Linked DNA regions of Ovis aries. The protein of the gene in region 3 binds, or shares a complex with, the protein of the main gene of each other region. Links are inferred from orthologs where the notes say so. Each region holds a gene or a part of one and is shown on either strand. Other genes may lie near its edges.

Evidence for each region. The genes of interacting proteins can lie anywhere in the genome.
Region 1: RIPK1 (region 3) and RIPK3 share a complex: the UniProt entries of both Homo sapiens proteins name them as parts of the AIM2 PANoptosome complex. The link is inferred for Ovis aries from reciprocal best matches to the Homo sapiens genes RIPK1 and RIPK3.
Region 2: RIPK1 (region 3) and ZBP1 share a complex: the UniProt entries of both Homo sapiens proteins name them as parts of the AIM2 PANoptosome complex. The link is inferred for Ovis aries from reciprocal best matches to the Homo sapiens genes RIPK1 and ZBP1.

Annotation. Positions count from the first base shown.
Region 1 is NC_056060.1:20,646,811-20,654,907, forward strand, and holds RIPK3 (receptor-interacting serine/threonine-protein kinase 3), read left to right. Parts: upstream 1-2,682; 5' UTR 2,683-2,816; coding exon 2,817-2,836; intron 2,837-3,039; coding exon 3,040-3,180; intron 3,181-3,312; coding exon 3,313-3,622; intron 3,623-3,659; exon of another isoform or gene 3,660-3,943; coding exon of another isoform or gene 3,944-4,159; coding exon 4,160-4,305; intron 4,306-4,442; coding exon 4,443-4,489; intron 4,490-4,694; coding exon 4,695-4,862; intron 4,863-4,973; coding exon 4,974-5,059; intron 5,060-5,279; coding exon 5,280-5,621; intron 5,622-5,764; coding exon 5,765-5,825; intron 5,826-6,460; coding exon 6,461-6,645; 3' UTR 6,646-6,793; downstream 6,794-8,097. UniProt on the Homo sapiens protein: Serine/threonine-protein kinase that activates necroptosis and apoptosis, two parallel forms of cell death. Necroptosis, a programmed cell death process in response to death-inducing TNF-alpha family members, is triggered by RIPK3 following activation by ZBP1.
Region 2 is NC_056066.1:58,225,025-58,233,138, forward strand, and holds the start of ZBP1 (Z-DNA-binding protein 1), read left to right. Parts: upstream 1-2,699; 5' UTR 2,700-2,753; coding exon of another isoform or gene 2,754-2,856; exon of another isoform or gene 2,857-4,165; 5' UTR 4,166-5,261; coding exon 5,262-5,595; intron 5,596-6,344; coding exon 6,345-6,410; intron 6,411-6,811; coding exon 6,812-6,985; intron 6,986-8,113; coding exon 8,114-8,114.
Region 3 is NC_056073.1:49,670,255-49,676,390, forward strand, and holds the end of RIPK1 (receptor-interacting serine/threonine-protein kinase 1), read right to left. Parts: intron 5,581-6,136; coding exon 5,428-5,580; intron 3,358-5,427; coding exon 3,071-3,357; 3' UTR 2,422-3,070; downstream 1-2,421. UniProt on the Homo sapiens protein: Serine-threonine kinase which is a key regulator of TNF-mediated apoptosis, necroptosis and inflammatory pathways.

The DNA.
Region 1 (8,097 bases), on a different chromosome or scaffold from region 3:
AGTTTCTATTTTTTCGCTATTTTAAACAACATTTCCGTGAATATCCTGAAACTTTGGCTAAATCTTTGCATACATCATAACACTTTTCTTTCTTTATCTGTTTATAAAAGTGATACCTGTTAATATAAAATATTCAAATACTAAGGAAAACAAAAATTCTCCATAATCTTTTTTACTGTCACCTCAATTAATACAATTTATTCTATAATTGAAATCTCTTAATCAAACGACAGAGGAGAATTAGGGCTAGAATATGCAAGAAGAGAGACCACAATCTCTGCCCCTCACTTGCATCCCAGCAACTAGAAATGCGGAATCAGAGCAGGTACACAGGATGGGCTGAAGGTCACTGAAGACAATCAGCTATAGAGAACTGAAGGGATGAGAGACACCCAAATAGACTCCAAAGGCCTGGGACAACCAGGGTCAGGTGTCCCTGGCCTCAGAAAAGGCCAGAGCTTCAAAATCCAGGAATCAACTCTGCCTTGCCAGTTCCCCAACTGCTGGAAGAAGAAAGCAGAGGTCTTCTCAGGCACTCACTCCAGGCTCCTCTTCCTACCCCTCCTTCTCTTAAAGATGCTTGGTTTGTTTTTTATATTTTTTTGAAATTTCTTGATGATGTGCCTGAGTATGGACTTTTTTCTTCATACATTTGCTGGAAACTCAGTGGGCACGTCTATTTATTTTTGGCTGAGCTAGGTCTTTGTAGCTGTGTGGGCTTTTACTCCAGTGGCAGTGAGCAGGGAAGACTCTAGTTGAGATGCGAGGGCTTCTCATTGCAGTGGCATTTCTTATTGTGGAATATGGGCTCAAATGTGCATAAGCTCCAGCAGCTGCAGCTCAGGGGCTCTACAGCACAGCCCCAGTAGTTGCGGCACACGGGCTTGGTTGCCCCACAGCTTGTGGGATCTTCCTGGACAAAAAATCGAATCTGTGTCTTCTATATGGATAGGCAGATTCTTTACCACTGAGCCATCAGGGAAGCCCAAGTTGGTTTATTTTGAGTCAAAAACTATTATAGGTTCTGACACCATCCCCAACCTTACACTTTACAGTAACTTCTTCCAGTTCTCAGGTTCGTATGTCAGTCTAAAGAAATCTAGCTGTAAAAGGTTTTTAAATGTAGCTCTAACTCCTTTCTGACTACTCTCCTCAAACGGAGGCCAGGTGTTGAGACCATGAGCTCAGAAAGAATCATGGAAGGAATGACTGTCCTCTCTGATGGTTCTTAGGTCCTGAACTAGACGTTTTTGAGGAACTTCCAGACTTGCCTTTATATTCCGTGAGATACCACCGTATCACCATAAGACTTCAGATTAATTCTGTCGACTGCGCAGGTACGTGAAGAGACCCCAAACCAGAAATAAACCCAACCTCCTAGCTCCTCTCTGTTGACTATGGAGCACCACCTGGGATGGTTAGCATCTCAGTGAAGCCTCAAAAAGTTTGGGTTGTTCATTTATTAATCCAATTCAACAAATATTTATTGGATACCTACCTTGTACCAGCTTTTAAAGAGACTACAATTTAAGAATTCCCTAAATAGGTCAAAAATAGCATGCACTGACTCCATCAGAATTCAAGATGTGTATCCTGGAGTTCCAGTTTCTGGAGGAACCACAGTTAACTGCTGGCCACTTTTGCTCCAGCTAGAGGAGTCCATGGACCACTGGACAGGATGGAAAGTTCCACAAGGTGAGCACCTTCCAGGGAGTCTTGCCCCATGACCCACAGGGTTGAGTCTCCCCATGAAGGACTGAGTGCCTAAGGCTGGCCGTATCTAATTCCATAACCTTCAGCTATGGTCAGGCCTTGGGCAGGTAAAATATGAACACCTTTTGTCAACCCTGAATCCTTAAGTCTCCCCAAGCTCCTGAGTTCTCCAAGACCCTTGTCCAGAGCATGTTTGTCAGGAAGATTTATTAATATTAACCAGAGAATTTGCAATGGAGGGTGGGGAGAGAGGGCAGAGAGGCTCTGCGGTGTCTCCACTGCCGTGTACACCACAGTATCAGCAACTCTCTGGTGGGCCAATTCACCTAGCTGACCACAGCACCCTGGGAGAGGTCTGTATTCGGAAAGAATAGAGCCCAGTGGACAAGCCACACCTTCCCCCGTCACCTTCCCCACCAGCTGACGTCTTTGTGAAAACGGCAAAGCTTCACGGTTCAGAGCCAGGCTCTGACGTCAGTTCCATGTCAGCTTGGGCCAGGTGCTTATACGCTCAGTGGTTTCTCACCTATAAAGAAGTAACAAAAGCAGTACCTATCCCCTTGGGTTGATGTGAGGATTAAGTGAGCTAATGGCATGTGGTGAGCTTTAGAGAAGTGTTAACTATGATCTTAGGGCAGCTGTGGGAGAACAGAGTCCTAGGACCATGACATCCTACTCAGCGCCACCGCCCGCACTCCCCCCGCCCCCCGCCAACCCTCCGCTCCCCGAACCCCGCCGCGGTATCCCAAGCTTGGCGCTGGAGCTGGGAATCCTGTGGAAGAAGGGAGAGAGGCCAGCGGTAGGAGGTGGTTGCGGGTTCCTGGAGGGTGAGGATACCCAGCGACAACCAGACCTGACCTGACACCTTGGGAGCAGCACTAGTTTCTGTTCTGCACCCTGCCCTGTGCCCTTCCCCGCCCCCGGGGCGGGACTGTAGAGGCATCAATTAAAGAAGGAAGTGGATCGGGCAGAGAGCACAACCCCGCGAAGCGGGAAGCGGAACCGTGAAGGAGCCTGGAGGTTGATTCCTCTCCCCGCCCCCAACCCCTCTTTCATCCGTGGGGGCTCGCAACTTCCAGAAGCTTCTCTCATCTTCCAGCCTGATGTCTGGCTCTGCGTTATGGTGAGTGGAGACTGAGATATGGATGCGCCTCGTGCCAAGACCAGGGCACAGTGCGTCTCACGGGAGGGGCTGGGGCTCGAACTGACAGCGCTGAGCCGAGTCACGGAGGTGGGCGCGGGGGGCGGTTAGAGGGGTGGGCCTCGGAGGGGAGTAGGGAGGCCTTGGGCCCGCGGCCGGCTGGTTACGTGGCCCCCCTCTCTCAGGCCCAGCGGTGCCTCAGCCCCGCTGGTGCCCATCGAGGAACTGGAGAACCCGGAGTTAATAGGCAAGGGCGGATTTGGCTCTGTCTTCCGGGCACATCACAGGAGTTGGGGCGTAGAAGTGGCGGTCAAGATCGTGAACTCGTGAGTGACCCGAGGTGGGGTCTGGTCCAGGAGGCTGGGCCGGGGAGGAGGGGCCGCTGTGCGGGGCGGGGCCTGGGCGGCGGGGAGGGTCGCTCGGGCGCAGAGCTGACGGCACCTCTCCCCTGAGAGCAGGAGGGCCATATCCAGGGAGGTGAAGGCCATGTCCAGTCTGCATAACAAGCATGTGCTGCTCCTGCTGGGGGTCACCGAGAAGCTGGAGTGGGAGTACGTGTCTGGGCCGGCTCTGGTGACTCCGTTCATGGAGAACGGCTCCCTGGCGGAGCTGCTACAGCCCCACTGCCCTCGGCCCTGGCCGCTCCTCTGCCGCCTGCTGCAGGAGCTGGTGCTCGGGATGTGCTACCTGCACAGCCAGAACCCAGTGCTTCTCCACCGGGACCTCAAGCCCTCCAACGTCCTGCTAGACTCAGAGCTGCACGCCAAGGTCAGCCCACCCTCACCCAGCCCATCTTCTGGACCAGGTCCTGCCCCAGAGCTGCTCCAACCCCATCCACGGGACATAGGACCCGCATCTGCTGCAGCCCTGTCTCCTGAATACCCTCAGCATCTCCCTCTGGACACAGGGCTGCCCAAGTGTCAAGGCCTAGCCTGGAGCTCTGGCCCCTGCCACACCAGGTGATGGAGGCCTTGACCATCACCTGACCATCACCTGACTTACCCTGGTCAGTTCCACAGGCCCACCCCACGGGCCTCCAAAGACCCGTAGCTGATCTATCCCAGGAGACTCAGACCTCAACCTGGTGCCATGGAGAGGGGACCCAGGCCTCCAGCCAGGGGCCCCACTGGTCCTACCCTTCCCCTAACCCTCCATACAGTCTTTGCAAGGCTGGGCCTGCACTTTTGGGGGGAGAGGAGTAAGGAAAGGGTTCTGGGAGTTTCTTGGACCTGCCCATTCCCTATCTCCTTCTTATCTCCCTTTTGTTCCATCCCCTATCTCCTCGTTCTTATCTCCCTTTTGCAGGTGGCAGATTTTGGCCTGTCCACATTTCAGGGAGGCTCACAGTCAGGGGCAGGATCTTGGGAGTCAGGGTGCACCCCAGCCTACCTGGCCCCAGAACTGTTGGCTAATATAAACCAGAAGGCCTCCAGGGCCAGTGATGTCTACAGGTAAGGCACCCACTCCAAACATATATCCAAACATATATCCCCAATTTCTACACCTGCCTGGGTCCTTCAAAGGGATGCTGTATGGAAAGGAATCTTGCCAGCAGTTGAGTCAGGCCTCAGCTTTGTGTCTACTGCAGCTTTGGGATCCTAACATGGGCAGTGCTAGCCGGAAGAGAAGCTGAGAGTAAGACAGACTCTGGGATCCTTCACCTCAGGTGCCCCCCTCCTCTAAGCCCCCAGTCTCCCAACCCCAAGCCCTCTTCCTCCTGTTTACCTGCTCAGACTGCCCCACTCCCTCCTCACATCTCCTACACTCCCCAGCCCTTTCCGTGATGGGGTAGCCTTCATACTCTGAATGCCTTCTCTTCACACCCCTACCCCCACCCTAGTAGTGCCCCAGACGTTGTTGGTGCGGGAAGCAGTGTGTGAGAGGCGGATCCGGCCCCCGCTGACTGAGCTGCCCCCGTCTGGGCCTGAGACTCCTGGCTTGGAAGAGCTGGCAGATCTGATGCAGAGGTGCTGGAGCCATGAGCCCCAGAAGAGGCCTTCCTTCCAAGGTGTGCTGGCCATCCGGCTGGCAGCTGAGACAGGCCTGAATTTGTCAGCAGGGGCTTCTCCCCCGGAAAAGAAATTTTGTTGACCTGCCACCCACTCTGCCTTCTCTCTAGAATGCCGAATAAACACCCAGAAAGCCCTTGATCTGGTAAATAAAGGAGATGCGCCTGGTAGAAAGATGAATGCCGCAGTCTACGTGGTGAGTGCTCACCCCCACCCAGGAGCTGGGCAGGATGGCAAACGCGGCCCCCTTGGCCACTCAGTGACCCCCCACTGACCACCCTTCTCTAAGCTTTGACCATGGTCCCCTCTCTCCTCACCCCATCCCTGAGTTCCCAGGCAACAGATATGGACCCAACTCCCTTGGGTTTACTCCGGCTCTCCCACCTCCATGCCCAGCCAGCTCCCCATCCCTACAGGTGAAGGAGTTCCTTTCTGAGTACAGGGGCAGCAACAGCCCAGGCCTGGAAAGGACAGAAATAGACAGTCCTAAGGAAACCACAGGAAGCCATGATTCCCTGGGCTCTGAAATGATGAAGCTGAATCTGGAGGGGCGCCCCAGCTCTGTTCCTGAAAAATGTACAAACCTTCTTGAGAACATCAGGGTCCCGAGAGAGCAGGTTCCGCCTGCCTGGACAGCAGAGACATCTTCAGATTCAACAGCCCGACCTCTTCAGACTCCAGAGACTTTACCTTTCAGAACCCAGAATCCCAGGCCCACCTCTGCTTGGATCCCAGGTCCTGGACCCCAAGGGAGTCAGGTGAGACATTGGAAGTATTACAGGATGCGCTAGGACTCCTGTGAATCCTGTCCCCTTGCCAGGGGACACTTGGGGCTGAGGGTGTCTGCCATAAGGGATCAGGCCCCAGGACAGGGAGCCTGAGAGCCCTGTGTTGTTTGCAGGGGGCTGAGAGACGTGACACCAACTGCCCTCCCAGAGGGCCGGCACCAAATCTGGTACCAGGTACCCATTCCCCACTCCTGCCTTTCCCTGTTCAATTCTACTAGCTTCTTCCTCAAGACCAAATACAGATCCAGGGTACTTGGGGAGGGGGAATGAGAAAGCGCTAGAGCCCACCTACCCCAGCCTTCTCATTTTGTAAATGAAGAAACTGACAGCCACTGAGGTCACACACTAAAGCCAACTTGGCTCCTGAGCATTTGGATTTGCCCCACCACCAGCGCTGTGAACCTCTAAATTCCATTCCACTGTCGCTGTGTCGGTTCAGAGGGTCGCCCATCAGAAAAGACCCAGATATCATCTATTCAATGGACTTGAGTTTGAGCAGACTCCCAGAGATAGTGAAAGACAGGGAAGCCTGGCATAATGCAGTTCATTGGGTCACAAAGAGTCTGACACGACTGAGTGATTGAACAACATCAAAGTCTCAGATGTTAGTTGCCACTCCTCTTTAGTTTCTGCAAACCAAATTCTGAAGGTGTAGCCCGAAGGGAAAGGCTGAAGGCAGGCTGAGACCCCACACTTGCATTTCCCCAGGGTGAACACGAGGTGTCGCTGCCCCTCCATCCTGATGCTCCTCCTTGCTATAAATCTCCAGCCACTTAATCCTCCGAACATCCTCACTCTTTCTCTTAAAGGGCCATGGCTTCCTACCATCTTTAACTGCCAAGGAGTACAGATTGGAAACAACAACCGCATAATTATGCAAGGAAGAACAGCCTTCTCCACAAAGGGCGTGGCACCTGGGGCCGTGGATAGGGTCCCTCAGTGCACCCCTCAAGGAAAAAGTTCAAAAGAACGACCGAAAGAACCTGAAGCCTAATAGCAAGAATTGAAGCAGCTTCTCAACTGCCACCTGGACTTGAGGCTGCTAGCCTAGACTTTCTCTGAGGGCCATCAGGCCTTCACCTGAACTGTCTTTGTGGCCCCAGGAGACAATAAATGTGGCCGTTTAACCAAGGCACCATGAAGGAGGCTAAAGCTTCAGCCAGGGGCAGGAAGAGACATGGATGAGAGATGGCGGAGCTGACGTCGAGGGGATGGGAGGCACTGTGGCTTCTCTGTGTGGCCAGAAGTGGGATGCTGAGGGCTGTGGGTGGGCAATGTTGTGGCACACAAGGTCAGGGCCCTGCTGGCGGTGGGGGCTGGAAGGAATCTTGGCTCCTGGGGCAGCTCTAATCTCAGGGCAGAGCACTTCCTGTAGAGCAGGCAAGACCCCACCCTAAACCAAACCCTGAGGATACAGGCTGGTCCTGCCACCACCTTCTCTTCTGGGCTGTAGACACTTGGCAGTGGAGTCCTGGGGAGGGGCTCTCCCTGGGAATTCTCAGACCCCAGCGCATCTTTGCCCTGCATGATGCCCCTAGTCTCTCTCGTAGGTCAGCCCCCATACTACCACCTCCCTCCCCCACGTATATTCACGCACACATTGCTTCCATGGACACACTGGAAACCTTTGATTCTCAGCTGGTATTTGGGAGTGGACAGCAATGGCTCCATGAAGCTACACGCAGATGTGCCCCTCCCATGGAGCTGGACACCACTGGAGTATAGACTGCTCAGACGTGGCTACAGCACTGCCATCCAGGCTGGAGGGGCAGGGAAGGATCGCCTCTCATCTGGACCTAGACCCTGGTCCCCATACGCCACCATGCTCCTCTTCCCCACATCCCTGCCAGCTTTTGCTCCAGCCCACCCTCAGTCTCCCCACACCCAAGGTTTGGGGCCCATTTTGACATTTAACACTTGGTGCAGCCCACACCACTCCTTGCATCTCTCCTGTGGTCTGCATTCCCCTTCCTTGAGGGGAACAGATGTGGGGAGGCTGTGGTGTCAGGAGAGACAATCGGAGTGGGGGAGGAGGTGGGAGTGCCGAGCCTGGCTAGGGCACAGGAAGGGCCGGGCTATCCCATCGGGGAAGTGGGAGGGGGCCGAGGCGCCTGGAGGGAAGTGCCTGTTGCCCTGGGCTTAGAGCTACTAGCCTAGCAGCACGCTGACTCCATAACCTGCCCCAGAGTTACTTGGTTCAGCTGCAGCAGCATCGCGGCCGTGAGTTGGGGGGAAAGGGGAGGGCTGGGGCTCCTTTGCTTTAACCCTAAATCCTGTGCCCCTGGCTTTTGCCTGAGCACCTCTGCAGTCTGGGTTTGAGGGGCAACATCAAACGAGTGGGGAGTCCCCTCACCGCCAGCTGGAAGAAGGCTGGGAGGCCCAGAGAGTACCTGGAAGGAGACGGGATTGCCGTGAGCTTGGGAGGTCTGGGAGCTAGTGGCTTGGT
Region 2 (8,114 bases), on a different chromosome or scaffold from region 3:
ATTCCTGGGTCAGAAAGATCCTGTGGAGAAGGGATAAGTCACCCACTCCAGTATTCTTGGGCTTCCCTGGTGGCTCAGACAGTAAAGAATCTGCCTGCAATTCAGGATACCTGAGTTTGATCCCTGGGTTGGGAAGATCCCCTGAAGGGGGGCATGGCAACTCACTCCAGGATTCTTGCCTGGAGAATTCCACGGACAGAGGAGCCTGGCAGCCTACAGTCCTTTGGGTCGCAAAGAGTCAGACACGACTGAGCAACTAAGCACAGCACAATGTCTAAAGTTATGTTATGGAGATCCATCAGTCACGTGGCATTTTCCAAATGAAGCAAATTTTGTAAACACCTACTAAGTGACAGATAAACATGCTTTTTCTTATCTGTTATTTCTGTTTCATAATTAAAACAAAGCTCAGAGAGGAAGTGGCACACTGTTAGGGAGAAGAAGGGTTGCAGCTCAGAGGTGGGTGATGGGGAACAGAGCCCTCCCAACGTGTGCATACAGACACAAACCAGAAGCAGCTGACCCTCAGATTGGACTCTAGTGTGACCTGCAAATCCACCAGGTAACCAGGTCTAGGCCCAAGTCGGAGTGTCCACACTAAGGTCAACATGGCTGAGAAGCCAGAATATGGTCAGATGGAGTTGGGGTTATCCTAGGATGGGGGACAAGTGAGAGCCACCCCCGCTAAATCAGAGGAACTGGGCAAGGGGAGCCTGGACTCAGGTTGGTGAGCGGGCGCCACCTAGTGGTCGGTCCTGGCGTGGCACCTCCCAGCCGCCCACAGTGACTCAGCCTGAGCCTGAGCTCAGAAGACACCTGACAATCTCTCCCAATACACCCAATTAATCCTCATTTAAAATTAACGTTGTCAACGCACATAGAGACACACGTTTCTTCTGTTTTACATTAAAAAGGAGCACAAATATCGTTGCGGCTTCCTATTTTTATTGAGTTGTCCAACACTTCACCTCTGGTTCAAGTGAAGTCCTCTAGGACTTCCAGCCCTGCCTCCCAAGATGGGGACTTACTTGGTCTGAGAGTGGACAGGGCATCGGGATTTTTCTTGCTTGTTCTGCAAATGTTACAGGGATAAACCAAGTCTGGCTCCATGTTGGAACGGTTTCTTTTTTTTATTTTTATTTTTATTTATTTATTTTAGTTTTTTTATTTTTTAAATTTTAATATCTTTAATTCTTACATGCGTTCCTTCTAATTTGCTCTCTGTTGCTTTTGTTATTATAATCACCCATAATGGTCTGCCTCAGAATCCTGCCCCCTCTGCCTGACTGCTAAACTAGAGTGCCTTTGTTCAGAACCCTGCCCACCTGTAGATGGCAGGAAGGAAGAAATGAACACATCCCCTGCCTGAGGCTCGCCATTTGAGATGTTCGCAAGATTAATGGCCTTTTTACTTTGTTTCCTCATCTCCCTCCACCTCTGATCTGTGAAAGAACCTGGCATCCAGACCCCATAAGATGGTTATTTTAAGACAATAGTATGCCATCTTCTCGGTCAGCTGGCTCTCCAAATAAAGTTGTATTTCTTGCCTCAACACCTCATCTCTGATTTGTTGGCCTGTTGTGCAGTGAGCCGGGAGAACTTGGACTCAGGAACACAAAGATAACTTTGAGATAAGCCTTCGGGGCCCTTTCCATGGCTGTACTTATTCCCAAGTGCTTCCCTTTGCAGAAATGCTGCGGATGGTGTTCCCCTGGGAGCCCGGGACTGGCACCTACTCCTTGGCCTCAGCTGAGACCCTGAGCCCTTGACCCTCTGGGCTGCCTTGCACAAAGCCCTTCACCTCTGTTGGCCTCAGTTTCCCCTTCCGTCACCTGGACTGAGCAGGGTCTCTGAACTGTTTGGGGAGGTCAATGGCCCCTGTAAGAATTTTCAGAAGCGATGGGTCTTTTTTTCCAGAACCAGGTCAGTGGGTGCCCAGCTATGCTCATGGCTGTAGAGGTGCCTGAATTAACCCTTTTAGTCCTCGCCACCACCTCTTGAGGTCACTCCTTTTATTAGCTCATTTCATAGATGGGATAACTAAGACATAAATAGGTAAAATAATCTGTCCAAGGTCCCACAGCCAGTAAATGGTGGGGCTGAGTTAGAACCTGAGCATCTCTGTGATCTTGGACAAGTGGCCTCATTGACCCGAGCCTCAGTTTCCTGAGAAAAGAGACCCTAACTAGATCCTAACCTGTAGATGAGTCAGGGGCACATGAGGTTGGAAAGTACATAGTAAGTACTCATTAAACAGTCCTCCTTTTTTTTTTTAATTAGAGGATAATTGCTTTTTAATGTTGTGGTCTCTGCCGTACACCAACACTGTCGTTGGTTTGATATGCACACACATATGTGGTTTTGATGATCACAAGCGCTCAGCCACTCACCCACCCAGGTATCTTGGCCTGTGGCTGGGGGAGTCAAGGTGGACAGTGGTGGGAAATCCCCCCAGCCCTAGAAGAAGCTCTGGTCTCCTCCATCTCAGCAGCTCCCTACCAATATCTAGTAGAAGGCCTAACTGTGTCTTGCTCAATTCAGCTTTCGATTTTGTTTCTCTCAAAAACCACACATAAGAGTTTCATTTTCATTTTCTCCAGAAACTGATCAGGTTGGCTGCCTAGGGCCTCATTTCCGGGGTGTGAACAGCTGACAGCTGACAGCTGTCCGGATGAAGCTGGAGTGTCTTCACAGCTGCTAGAAGCACCAGCCTGGCCCACAAGAGTACACACAGCCTTGACCGGACCCACCTTATGCAGGCCCCAGGGTCAGAGCCTGCTGCTGACTCCAAGTCTCCCAGGCTTCCTGCAGCTGCTGCCAGCATGGCCGAGGTCCCTGCTGACCCAGGAGACACAGGTACTTTTTTCCTTCTAAGGACCCGCGGGAGTGCCTGGGCTGGACTTAACTTTTCTTCTGGTTCCTTTTCTTGGTTCAGATGACAACCATGATAGGCTAATACCTGAAGGCACCACCGTAACAAGAGAGGGAGAGAGCATTGCATCGGGTTCAATCCGTGTGCGTTTTGCAGGAACCCTCAGGGGAAGCCCGCTGAGGTTCCCACCTCACTCCCGAGATCACAGGCAGCACAGGTGAAATGACTCAGGCGACCACAGCTGAGCGTGGGGCCTGAACACCCGCCTTCACTTTCGTTTTGAGGAAGGAGGGAAGTTGCTTTGCTTGTATGTGGCTTTCCTCCTGCTGCTGTTCTTTTATTGAATGGCGCACACGAAACTTAACTGGCACTGAACAGAGCTGATTCCTAGGGTCCCCACCGAAAGGGTGTGGGCTGGGGGCTGAGGTGCTTTTTGTCTGTCTTTGTTCTGTGATCAGTAACTATCTGAACCTCACCATGATCTGAAGTAGTCATGAATCTCACCATTTCAAAGATGGGGAAATGGAGGTCACACAGCTGATAGGTGGCAGAATTTTGGCTCAAACCCAGGAAAATATGCTGTGTCAGGGAGGGGGGTTAACTGGGAGTGGCCCAGAATCCCAGGGTGGGTTCCCAGGTTCCTGTTGTATTTTCCCAAGGAGACTTGTCAGGGGCACTGGGTAACTGAATTTAACTTGTTCCCCAGCAGGTTTTCCTTTTAACTGATGTATCATTTATACCTCATCCCATTTTGCAATTTCTGGTTCAGCAGCCAGAAGACTCAGTGGGGGAGGCAAGCCCAGCCTTCACTGCATGGACCCCATTTCCTCTTTGGGGTCAGGGGACTGCAGGAGGAGGAAGAGAGAGAGGCTCACCCAGGAGCAGGTTTTTCAGGAATCAAAACTCTTTTCAAGGCTAGGCAAAGCATCAGTGGGTGGGACGGGTATGACAGTCTCGGGGGTAGTGTTTAGTGAGTGAAATTCAGGCTGGGTGACCCCAGGGGTTGTAATGCACATCACCTGCCCCCAGAAGAAAGCAAACCTTCCGCCCACAAGAGCAAGCCACAGTGCCCAGCGCAGAGCTGGCAAACAGGTCATCCCCTAGTGCTGCCCACTCAGAATCCAGCAAGAACCCAGAAGTCAAAGGGTTGGGCTGCTGCCCTGGGAAGGTAACTTGGCCTTCCCAAGAAAGGCCCTGCTTTGCATTCCCATGGTGTTCTCAGGGGCAGACACTTTCTCTCCCAGCGCCATGCACTGCTGGCTCTGCGCCCACCAGTTCTCTCACTCCCCACAGGGCAGCCGGCTTGGGTTTATGGGAGCCTGCCTGCGAGGAGTAGAGGCTATTTGGAAAGTTCCTCTTTGAGCCTAGAGGCATCCTGCTTAGGACCATTAACTCTGGCAGAGGGGAGGCGGAAACAGAGGCCTTGGAGGAGCGCCCATCCCCTGCCCAGGCCATCTGAGCACACATCTACCCAGGAGTGGACACTCACTCTTTCATCCAGTCCCTCCTCCATTCAAATGCTGTTAATAGTTCGTGAGACCCTACTGCATGCCTGGCCCATGGCTAGACACAGAACCACTACAGTGAACCTGGCAGTCACAGCAGCGGATCCCTGGGGACACTCTGCAGGGGACCCACACAGGACCAGCATCCCACCTGCTCAGGGCACTCAGGACAGCCTTCCAGCATTGGAGTCTGAGTGAGAACTCACACTGGACAGGTGGAAATGGGGGGAAGAGCATGCCTGGCAAAGGGAATGGCATGTGCAAAGGCCCAGGGGTGAGTATGGCTGAAAGGAATTCAAACAGGTTGGCACTTGAAGGGCAGTAGAGGGTGGGTAAAGATGAGGCTGGCAGAACGGGTTCTGCCAGCCAAGAGGAGGGTGGACTGGAGGGAAGCTGGAGTTGGTGGAACTTCTGTCATCGAGGGGATGCTGACAAGGAGTGGGGAGTGGAGGCAGAGGAAAGGAGAAGGGGTTGAGAGAGTCTGGAGCGGCACCACCAGGACTCCATGGTTGGGCAGCAGGGTGAAAGCTCTGTTTCTGGACGCCGGCTGGGCTTCTGGGGGGGATGAACGGTGAAACCCCCCCGTGGATGGTGAGCCCGAGGAGCAGATTCCACAGGGCGGGGTGGATGGGGGATAGAAGGCACCAGGGACAGGCCTTACTTCCCTGGCTCCTCTGCTCCGCCCTTACCCTCCTGCATCCTGCCGCCTCCACTCTCTTCTGCTCTGAGGACACCTGAGGGCTGACTGTTCTCATCTGTCCTCCAGTGCTCACACAGGCAGGGGACACTCGGAAGGCCTGGCAGCTCCTCTGGCCACCAGACTGTCCTGCCCAGGTCACTTCTGAGCAGCCCACGCGCCCCTCCCTGAAGACAAGGAGACACTGATGGGTGTCTACGTTAACCTCTGTTCCTCCGTCTGCCCTAGATCCCTCTCTGGGGGGCGCCTGACGGCCCAGGCTGGGTCGTGGGGACCTCAGTTCTGTCTCTGCCCCTGTCTCCCTCTCCCAGACCTTGAGCAGAGAATTCTGGAGGTGTTGAGGGATGCTGGCTCCCCTGTGAAGACCACCCAACTGTTAAAGAAATTGCAAGTGCCCAAGAAGAAGCTCAACCAGCTCCTCCACAAGATGAAGCAGGAGTCAAAAGGAGTCATGCTCGCAGGCCCTGCAATGTGGTGCTTGGGCGACAGCGGGACCAAAGAAATGGTTCCCACAGAGCGGGGTAACCTGTCACCGCGGGTGGGAGAGGTGGGGGTGCGGGACCCAGCATGAGCGGTCCTGGTAGCGACCAAGCCCAGATTTGGACCTGGGTTCAAGTACGGGCTCTGCCCTTGAGGGTGCATGCTGTCTTCTGACTGCATCCTGATTTCTTTCTCTGGCCAATGGAGGTGAGAGGATTTGATGCAAATGGCTAAGCCCATGCCAGCACGTAGTAGATGCTCAGCAAAACTTTAATAATGATGATTATGACATGACCAATGACACAATAATAATTGAGCATCGCATGAGATCTGCTTCTCTGGTTCTGCAGCCCATGGCCCTAAACAGCTGACATGTGTCAGGTACTTACAAAAAGCCGTTGCAGGACCAGGGTTGGGGGAGGGGGGCTGAAAGTGAAGGTGTTAGTCACTCAGTCATGTCCAACTCTTTGCGACACCATGGACTGTAGCCCACCAGGCTCCTCTGTCCATGGAATTCTCCAGGCAAGAATATTGGAGTACGTAGCTGTTCCCTTCTCGAGGGGATCTCCCCAACCTAGGGATTGGACCCAGGACTCCCATATTTACAGTCTGAGCCACCAGGGAAGCCCAGAAGTGGGTGGGGCAGGATTTGAAGCTAAGTTCCTTTAACTCTAGAATCTGAGTTTGGAGATCCACATACTGGGTCCTCTACAGAGCAGCCCGCCTTTGTCTGGCAGAATCCACGTCCCCTCTCCCGTTCCTTCACCCCTGACCATCTTTCTTTCTCCAGTGGAGAGGCCCCAGCAAGATGCAGTTGCAGTTCCAAAGAAGCCGGGCCCAGAGCTCAGTGAACAGCGTAAGCATCCTGGTTTCATTCAGCACCGGGTCCCTCTGCCCCCAGACTCTCACGGTCACTCAGGAAGCTAACACGTGTCCAGCAACAACCACCCCACCCACTGAAAGGTCCCCACACTGCACACAGTATTCAGAGGCAAGGCTCTGCCTCTTGGGGAAAGAGGCTAAGTGACTGAGAAATCATTTGTCTGATGAATGGTTAGCATTTGCTGTGCACCTAGTGTGGGCAGGCACTGTCTGGAGCCCCTGGAGAGAATTCCCAACCCCCAGAGTGACCTCCGTGGTGCAGTAATATTATTGTGTCCATTTCACAGATTAGGAAAATGGGCACAAGGGCTGGTAAGCAGGGGAGTAGATCCAGCCTCCAGGGTCCTCTTTAACCACCGGCCTCCCACCTCCCAGAGAAAGAGATCTACCAGTTCCTGGAAGCCCATGGGCCCCATAAAGCCCTGATGATCGCCAAGGCCCTGGGGATGAAGACAGCAAAGGAAGTCAACCCAGACTTGTATGCAATGAGGGACAAGCACCTCCTGGACTTTGACCAGAAATCAAACTCTTGGACAATTTATCAATCAGGTAGGCCCTTACCCTGGACAGGGCAGAGGGCAGAGCTGTGAAGAGAAATTGTAACACGCAAGCCCTGGTTCTTGCCGGGTTCCTGCTAGGAGCTTCCCTACCTTGTCAGAAGCTGGAGTCTTGCTGACCTGTCCCTGGCAGGGGATTCCAGGAGGGAGGGGAATGCTGGTGGAAGTAACCAGGGAGGGCTTCCTGGAGGTGGGGTCCACCCCTGACTGTATCAACCTTGGGACACAGGTCTCAGTCTGAATTTGCTAACAGTTTTCTGTAAGCATTTTGCCCAACTTGGAGTTTTAAAGGTGCTGAAGGAGTTGGCTAGGCTGGGCTTACATACCCACAGGTGGAGTCCCAGAACTGACTAAGGCACTACAAATAGCAGGCCTAAGGCCTAGAGCCTCCAGTACTTTTAGGGGGTCACCAAATGCTCCAATTTCTCTTTAAATTAGAAGAAAAAATGGATATCATAGTAAGAATGAATAGCTAATAATTCCAGCTGAGTTATATTTGCCTTTATCCCAATACAGTCACTAAATGCAATTTTAAATGCTCACAAAGACACAAGAGCCAAGGGCCCACAAAGGTGGGAATGTGGCCCTTTGTGTGGAGCCCACGTGGAGCTGACACCCCTGCTTAAGGCACCCAAGGAGGGCCTCAGCTTCTTAAATGCTAGATGTTAAACAGTGGTGACTACTCCAAATTCTTAAAAATGCCTTGTGAACCAAACAAAGCTTTTCCCATGGTTAGAAGCAGCCCGTGGGCAGCTCCCTAAAGGAAAGGTCCCTAAAGGAAAGGTCCCTAAAGGAAAGCAGAGGTTAGTGCTGTCGTTTCCTCGCAGTGGGAGGGGGCAGAGGGTGCAAGCAGCAAGGCACCTGCTGCCCTCCCGCGGTGGCAGAGGACACATGGGTAGGGTGGCCTGTGGGACAAAGTACAAGCTTACCTGCAGTGTTTGGTAAACACTCTGGCTCCTGGGGCCCACCTGGGCCCACTGACTCAGAACCCCAGGGTGGGCCCCTGGGAATTCGTGTTTTAACCAGCCCCCTCCAGGAGATTCTGGGGCTGTGGACTAGTATTTGGAACTTCTGACCCCTTACGAGGCACAAAGGGATTGAGTGGAATATTATTTTGCAGA
Region 3 (6,136 bases):
AGGGGTGGGCTCGGGGCCGCCAGCCTGACAGCTGGAGGGGACTGGGGTTCGCTGTGTGCGTTCTTACACCGGCCCACACCCGTGAGGGCCCCTGCTCTCGGGGATCCCGGAGATCAGGGCGGGCCAGCGGCGGCTGGAGAGCGGTGCGGGCGGGGGCCCGGGTCTCGAGAGCTAAGCCGCAGGGAGCCTCCGATGAATCCCGCAGACAGGCCGGGGCTCCCGCTTCTCGGCGCTGTGGCGGGAGCAGAGGGGGGCGCCGGGTGCGGAGGATGGGGGCTGTGTCCGCGTGGGGTCCCTGGCCGCCCCCGGGGCGGGGGAGCGGCGAGCACCGCAGGCTTGGTCGTAAATGGAGCCGCGTGTGAGTCCAGATCAGTGAGGCCCGTGCGGCCCAGGTGTTCGGAAGCAGGTGGGTGTCGGGCTGGGCCGGAGGCAGGGTTAGTGTCCAGTGGGGGCAGAGCCTCAGTTTTGCAGGAACGTGGCAGAAACAGTGTGAATGTGTTTAGGGCTGTACACTTAAAGACGGTTAAGATGGCAAATTTTACGTGTATTTCACCACTGTTGAGTGTGTGTGCTTCTTACGACCAGTTCAGTCTTCAGAGAGTATAAACAGTATTTGCAGCTGAAGGTTCCACAGGGAAAATGAAAAACAATACCCTTTGATTGTGGCTGCTCTCTCCCTTAACAGAAAACAACCGCACATCGGTGGCTGCTGTTTAGCCTTGTCTTGATTTGGAGATTCCAGCAGCTTCCTTGCATCTTATATTACTTCTCCTGGAGACCCTTTCATTGTAACAATCCTCTATGCACAGTGCTTCCTGGTGTTACAGCCATGAGAAGTTGTATTACCAGCAGTGTCCTCCCTGACCAGTGGGAGTTTCTTGGCAGTAAAGGGAGGTTTGATTTAAATACTATATAAAAGTATATATATATTATATACTATAATACTATACTATATACTATATATGTCTTTTCAACATAAAGCTGTCACATCAGTTTCCTACACAGAAGGAAAGAGAAATATGTAATGTTCCAGCTACTGTTGTTTGACTTTCAGAATCTGAAGTGGGGTCAACATTTCCTTATTTTTTTTTATGAAATGTTGATTGGGATTTCTTGTCAGAGATGATGAGGGGTTAAAAATAATTGTACAATTTTAATACCAGTTATCCTACTGGTCAGCAAAAATGGTAGTGCTGAGGTCTTAGGCTACTGGTGTCAACTAATAAAAACCTACTTATAACACAGGGAACTCAACAGTCTATAATGACCTAAAGAATCTATAAAAGAATATAAAAAAGAGTGGATATATGTTTAACAGTCACTTTGCTGTACTCCTGAAACTAATGAAGCATAAATCAACTAGACTCCAATAAAGACTAATTCTAAAAATACTATTTTTAGGGACTTCCCTGGTAGTCCAGTGGTTAAGATTGTGGCTTCCAACGCAAAGGGGTGTGGGTTCAACCCGTGATTGCAGAGATAGGATCCCACATGCCTCTACACCAAAACATAAAAACAGAAGCAATATTGTAACAAATTCAATAAAGACTTCAAACATGGTCTACATCAAAAAACATCTTAAATAACTTTTTTGCGCCAGGCACCTAAAATGAGATGCATCATCTTATTTTAATCCTCACACCTACCTTATGTCCTAGCACCCTATTTATAGATGAGGCAACTGAGGCCGGGAAAGGTCAGGAAGCAGGCCCCAGGTGCACGGCCAGAGTGTAACTTGTGCCTGCTTGATTTCAGAGGCCTGCGTCTGGATTATACCATAGAACTGGTCCTTCAGTGATGTCTTTGTAATCAGATGCTTCTAACACCTTGACCGTATACAGACCTATTTACATGATTACTGTAACTAGAAAAGCTTTTTAAACTATTTAAAATGTGTTGTGAGAAATAACTCCTTTTCGTGTTGCTGAAGATTTAACTTCATCGTCTGGACCCACAGCAATTATCGCAACAGCGACAAGTGGGGACTCTGCTGAGCAGGGTCTGCGGTCTGGGAGTGGGTCTCACTTAGGAGTATCCACCTCAGGGTCTTCATACCTTTCTCAGAGCCAAGAACAGGTTGCCTTGTTTCTCGTATTGTAGTCTGTGTCGTCCCACTTCGTTGATTCCTGCCCAAGACGAGTGTTTTTGTGGCGTTTGGGCCTAATATCGAAACTCCTCAGATGTAAACTTGGCCCTCTTCGTCCAGTAGTTAGACCGTGGGGGCTGAAGGAAAGGCCCCTGAGCTGGGTGTGCGAGACTGCAGTGCTTACTCTCAGGCCCGTGGGTTTCATCTTGAAAGTCAAAATGCAATGTCAGGAAAGCTCTTTTCTCCCTAGCTCCCCGATCTCTCCTGCCAGTAGCTGGGGGTCACCATGGAGAATCTCACACTGTTTCGTTTATACAAACACATAATTTCAGTGGTTTCCATTTGAGGTACAAAATTTTATTTTAATTAGTCCATTAAAATATTGTCTGCTGTCTCTGACACTGATTAGTTAACCTGTTTGGAATTTAGAGAGCAGTGGTCACAAGGGATGCATCTGGGAAAGGAATCACCCCGCCCCCTCCTGCAGCTGGGGACCATCTCCCCCTCCAGTTTTCCGCTATCCGACTGAATGAGAACTTTTATTTTTCACTTTGGTTATAACAGGTGCTTATGTGGAGAAGGCAGTGTAAAATTAGAAAGCTGATTTAGGTTATAGACTCCAAATTTTTCTTTTTCTTCCTTGCTCAATCAAAACTCCCAGAAACCAGAATGAATAGCATGAAGATTATGGGATCATATGAAAGAAAAAAATGATCTTTCTCAACTCTCTCTTCTCTCCTTTTCGAAGCCCAATTAGGCTTCTTGTTGGGTTGGGCCTTGGCCACAAATAGGTGGTCCTGCGTCCGGCGCAGTGGGTGGTTTGCTGGCGATTCCCTTTTCCATCCTCCAGCTGTGAAAGGTAGGAGGTGACTTTGACACAGACGCAGCACCCCCTGTATCCGGGAGAAGAGAAGTCCGAGTCTCCGCAGGCAGCAGGCTTTCGCCGGGGGGAAGGCGGCCCCTGCCGCAGGAGCGCCTGTGGGCTCAGTTCTGGCTGACGCGGATCAAGCAGTTGACCAGGTCTATCCGTGAGCACAGGTACAGCGCAAAGGCCAGCTTCCCCACGGTGGCCCCCTTGCTGCCTTCCCGCATCAGCCACTTTTGGAGCATCTGGTAAACCTTTTCTTTCAGTCCATCTCGCTCGTAGTCGTGGTCGATTTCATCGATCTGAGATTCAGAGAAGCCCAGCTTACGGGCGCAGTTCTTCCAGTGTCTTCCCAGATTCTCCCTGACCGGGTCCAGGTGTTTGTCAGTCAGACTAGTAGTAGTATCTGCCGAACAGAAAAGAGAAGGCATTGAGCTGTGGCCACGTGAACACTCTGGCTTCAAACACCGGCATAAAGTACAGAGTCCCAGGAGTCAGTAAAAGAGGTAGCTCCCCCATGGTCTGGCTGCGGCTCCCCGGACGCTCCTCGCCTGTCTACCAGCCCACGCGAGGACCGGCTTCCTCCTGGGAGCTGCCCCCTTGGCCGCTAGGCTGTTCCGGACCAGCTGACCACAGCCCCTGTTTACACCTTCCTGACGTCAAGGGGGAAAACACCATTCTTGTTCCTTTTGGGCCTTGTTCTGCTTCCATCTGGCCAGAGTTAAGGTCACTCAACTCAGGAAACCGTCGGCCAGCCGTGCGTGTTCCTCTCACTTGGTCCCGGACACGGAGGCCACCGGCGGGAACTCTGGCTGCGCTGTCTTTTCACCGGTGCGGCATTTCTGGGCTCATCCCTCCCCTGCCCCACTCAGTCCTCCTTTCTCCTAGAGCCGTAACCTCTCTCTCCCTACTGGTTCCTTCCTCTCAGGCCTTCGTAAAAATAATAAAATGAAGCAAAGAGAAGTATAAAATCACCACAAACAAGCCATATTCCGTGATGTTCAGTAAGCGGAATAATAGAAACACCTCGTCCCCCCCGGCAGAACGCCCATCTTTCCTCGGCTCCCACAGTGCAGCTCTGACCATCACCAGATGTCAGCCTCCCGGCCAGAGTCTGCCAATGCTTCACCAGGAGAGGGGCCCTGGGCTCCAGCAGGTTCTCAAAGGCACCCTGTCAGCCCAGACCTTAGGAACCTCTGCTCTAGTGAATTAAAGACTGGCTTTGAGAGGGTTAGATGGGGCAACCACTCCAGTATTCTTGCCTGGAAAATCCCATGGACGGAGGAGCCTGGTAGGCTACAGTCCATGGGGTCGCAGAGTCTCACACGACTGAGCGACTTCACTTTCACTTTGGCCACCTATGGCCTGTGAGCCACACGTGGCCCGCTGCTCGTTTTGTAAAGTGAAAGAAAGTGAAAGTGAAGTCGCTCAGTCATGTCCGACTCTTTGGGACCCGGTGGACTGTAGCCTGGCTCTGTCCAGACTCCTCCGCCCATGAGATTCTCCAGGCAAGAATATTGGAGTGGGTTGCCATCTCCTTCTCCAGGGGATCTTCCCGATCCAGGGATCAAACCCAGGTCTCCCGCATTGCAGGCAGACGCTTTAACCTCTCAGCCACACAAAGTTCTATTAGAATGTGGCCACACCCATCCGTGCACCTACTGCCTGGGGCTGCTGGCGTGCTGGGGGTCAGCTGCGCCACGTGCTCTGCTCAGTCGCATCCGACTCTGTGGCCCCAGGACTGCAGCCCACCAGGCTCCCCTGTCCATGGGGATTCTCCAGGGAAGAAGACTGGAGTGGTCGTCCAGGGGATCTCCCCACCCCAGGGCTCCAGCCCACGTCTCCCACTGTGGGAGGATTCTGTACCATCTGAGCGACCAGGGAAGCCCACATGGAGGCAGTGTCAGCTGAGCGGCTGCAACAGAGACGGCAGGGCCAGCGGAGCCAGAAACGCTTGCTCTCAGGCCCTTGATTAAAAAAAGAGAATGCCAGTCCTGGGGTGGATTAGAAAGCTGGGTTCTTAAATCGCACTGTTTCCCCCAGGTTGTGTTTTGGGATTAATGTTATGAGGCTGTATAGTGGAATCCCATAAGAGAAAGCCCTCTAATTTTTATTATGCAAGTGCAGCTGAGGGCATAGTCTTCTGTCCTTTACGGAATCCTTCTGACGAGGACCTGATGGGCTCCTGGGTCCGGGTGGCCATATTGACGATGATGATGTGTTTAACACTTTTCTATCTTACCATGTGCCAGACAGTGTATAAGCCCTTTGTTTGTGTTGACTAATTTCACTTTCATAGCAAACCCATGAATTAGATATTCTAATTATGGCCTCAGCACACATAAATAAGTTACAAAGCACGTCCACGGAAATTACATGAGGAGCAATAGGGCCTCTTCAGGGAGAGTCATCAGAGAAATAATCAGGTGAGAAAGTTCAAGGTTGCTGTAGGATGAGCCCTTCAAGGGCAGCTTACCAAAGATGGCTTGGTACTTAGAAGCCGGCTCTTCTTTCAAGTTCATGTACATGCTGTCGAGTACTGATGAACTCATTCCACCAATCTCCATGTAATTGCTGTCGCCGATCTGAATGCCAGAACTGTTGTGTATGGTATATTTCACAGACTCATCTAATTAGAAAGAAACACAGAGATAAGTAGTATATCTAGACTGCAAGGAAGAGAAAAAAGGACAGCCTGGTAAAGGGGCAGGACTGCTTAAGTTAAATAATTCATCCTACGCCACCACTTGAAATTTTCTTCTTTAAAAGTTGGCTGAATCATCTCACATCCATTAGGCTGGAAACTATCAAAAATACAGAAAACAACCCGTGTCAGCGAGGATGTGGGGAAGCGAACCTCTGTGGGCGGCTAGTGGGAATATAAACAGATGCAGCCCCTGTGGTAACCGGTGGTGGTTCCTCAAAAAGTAAAAACCACCTGCCATACCATGCAGGAGCTCTACCTGTATATGCCCCAAAGAACTGAGAGCAGGGTCTTAATCCGATATCTATACACGCACGCTTGTAGCATTGTTCCTAACAGCCAAAAAGTGGAACCTACCCAAGTGTCTGTCAGCAGATGAACAGGTAAACAAAATGCGGTCCATTCTGGACGGGCCACACAACGGTGATGCACTCTCTTTAGCCTCACAATAAGGGAGTTCTGGCCCATGACCTAGCATGCA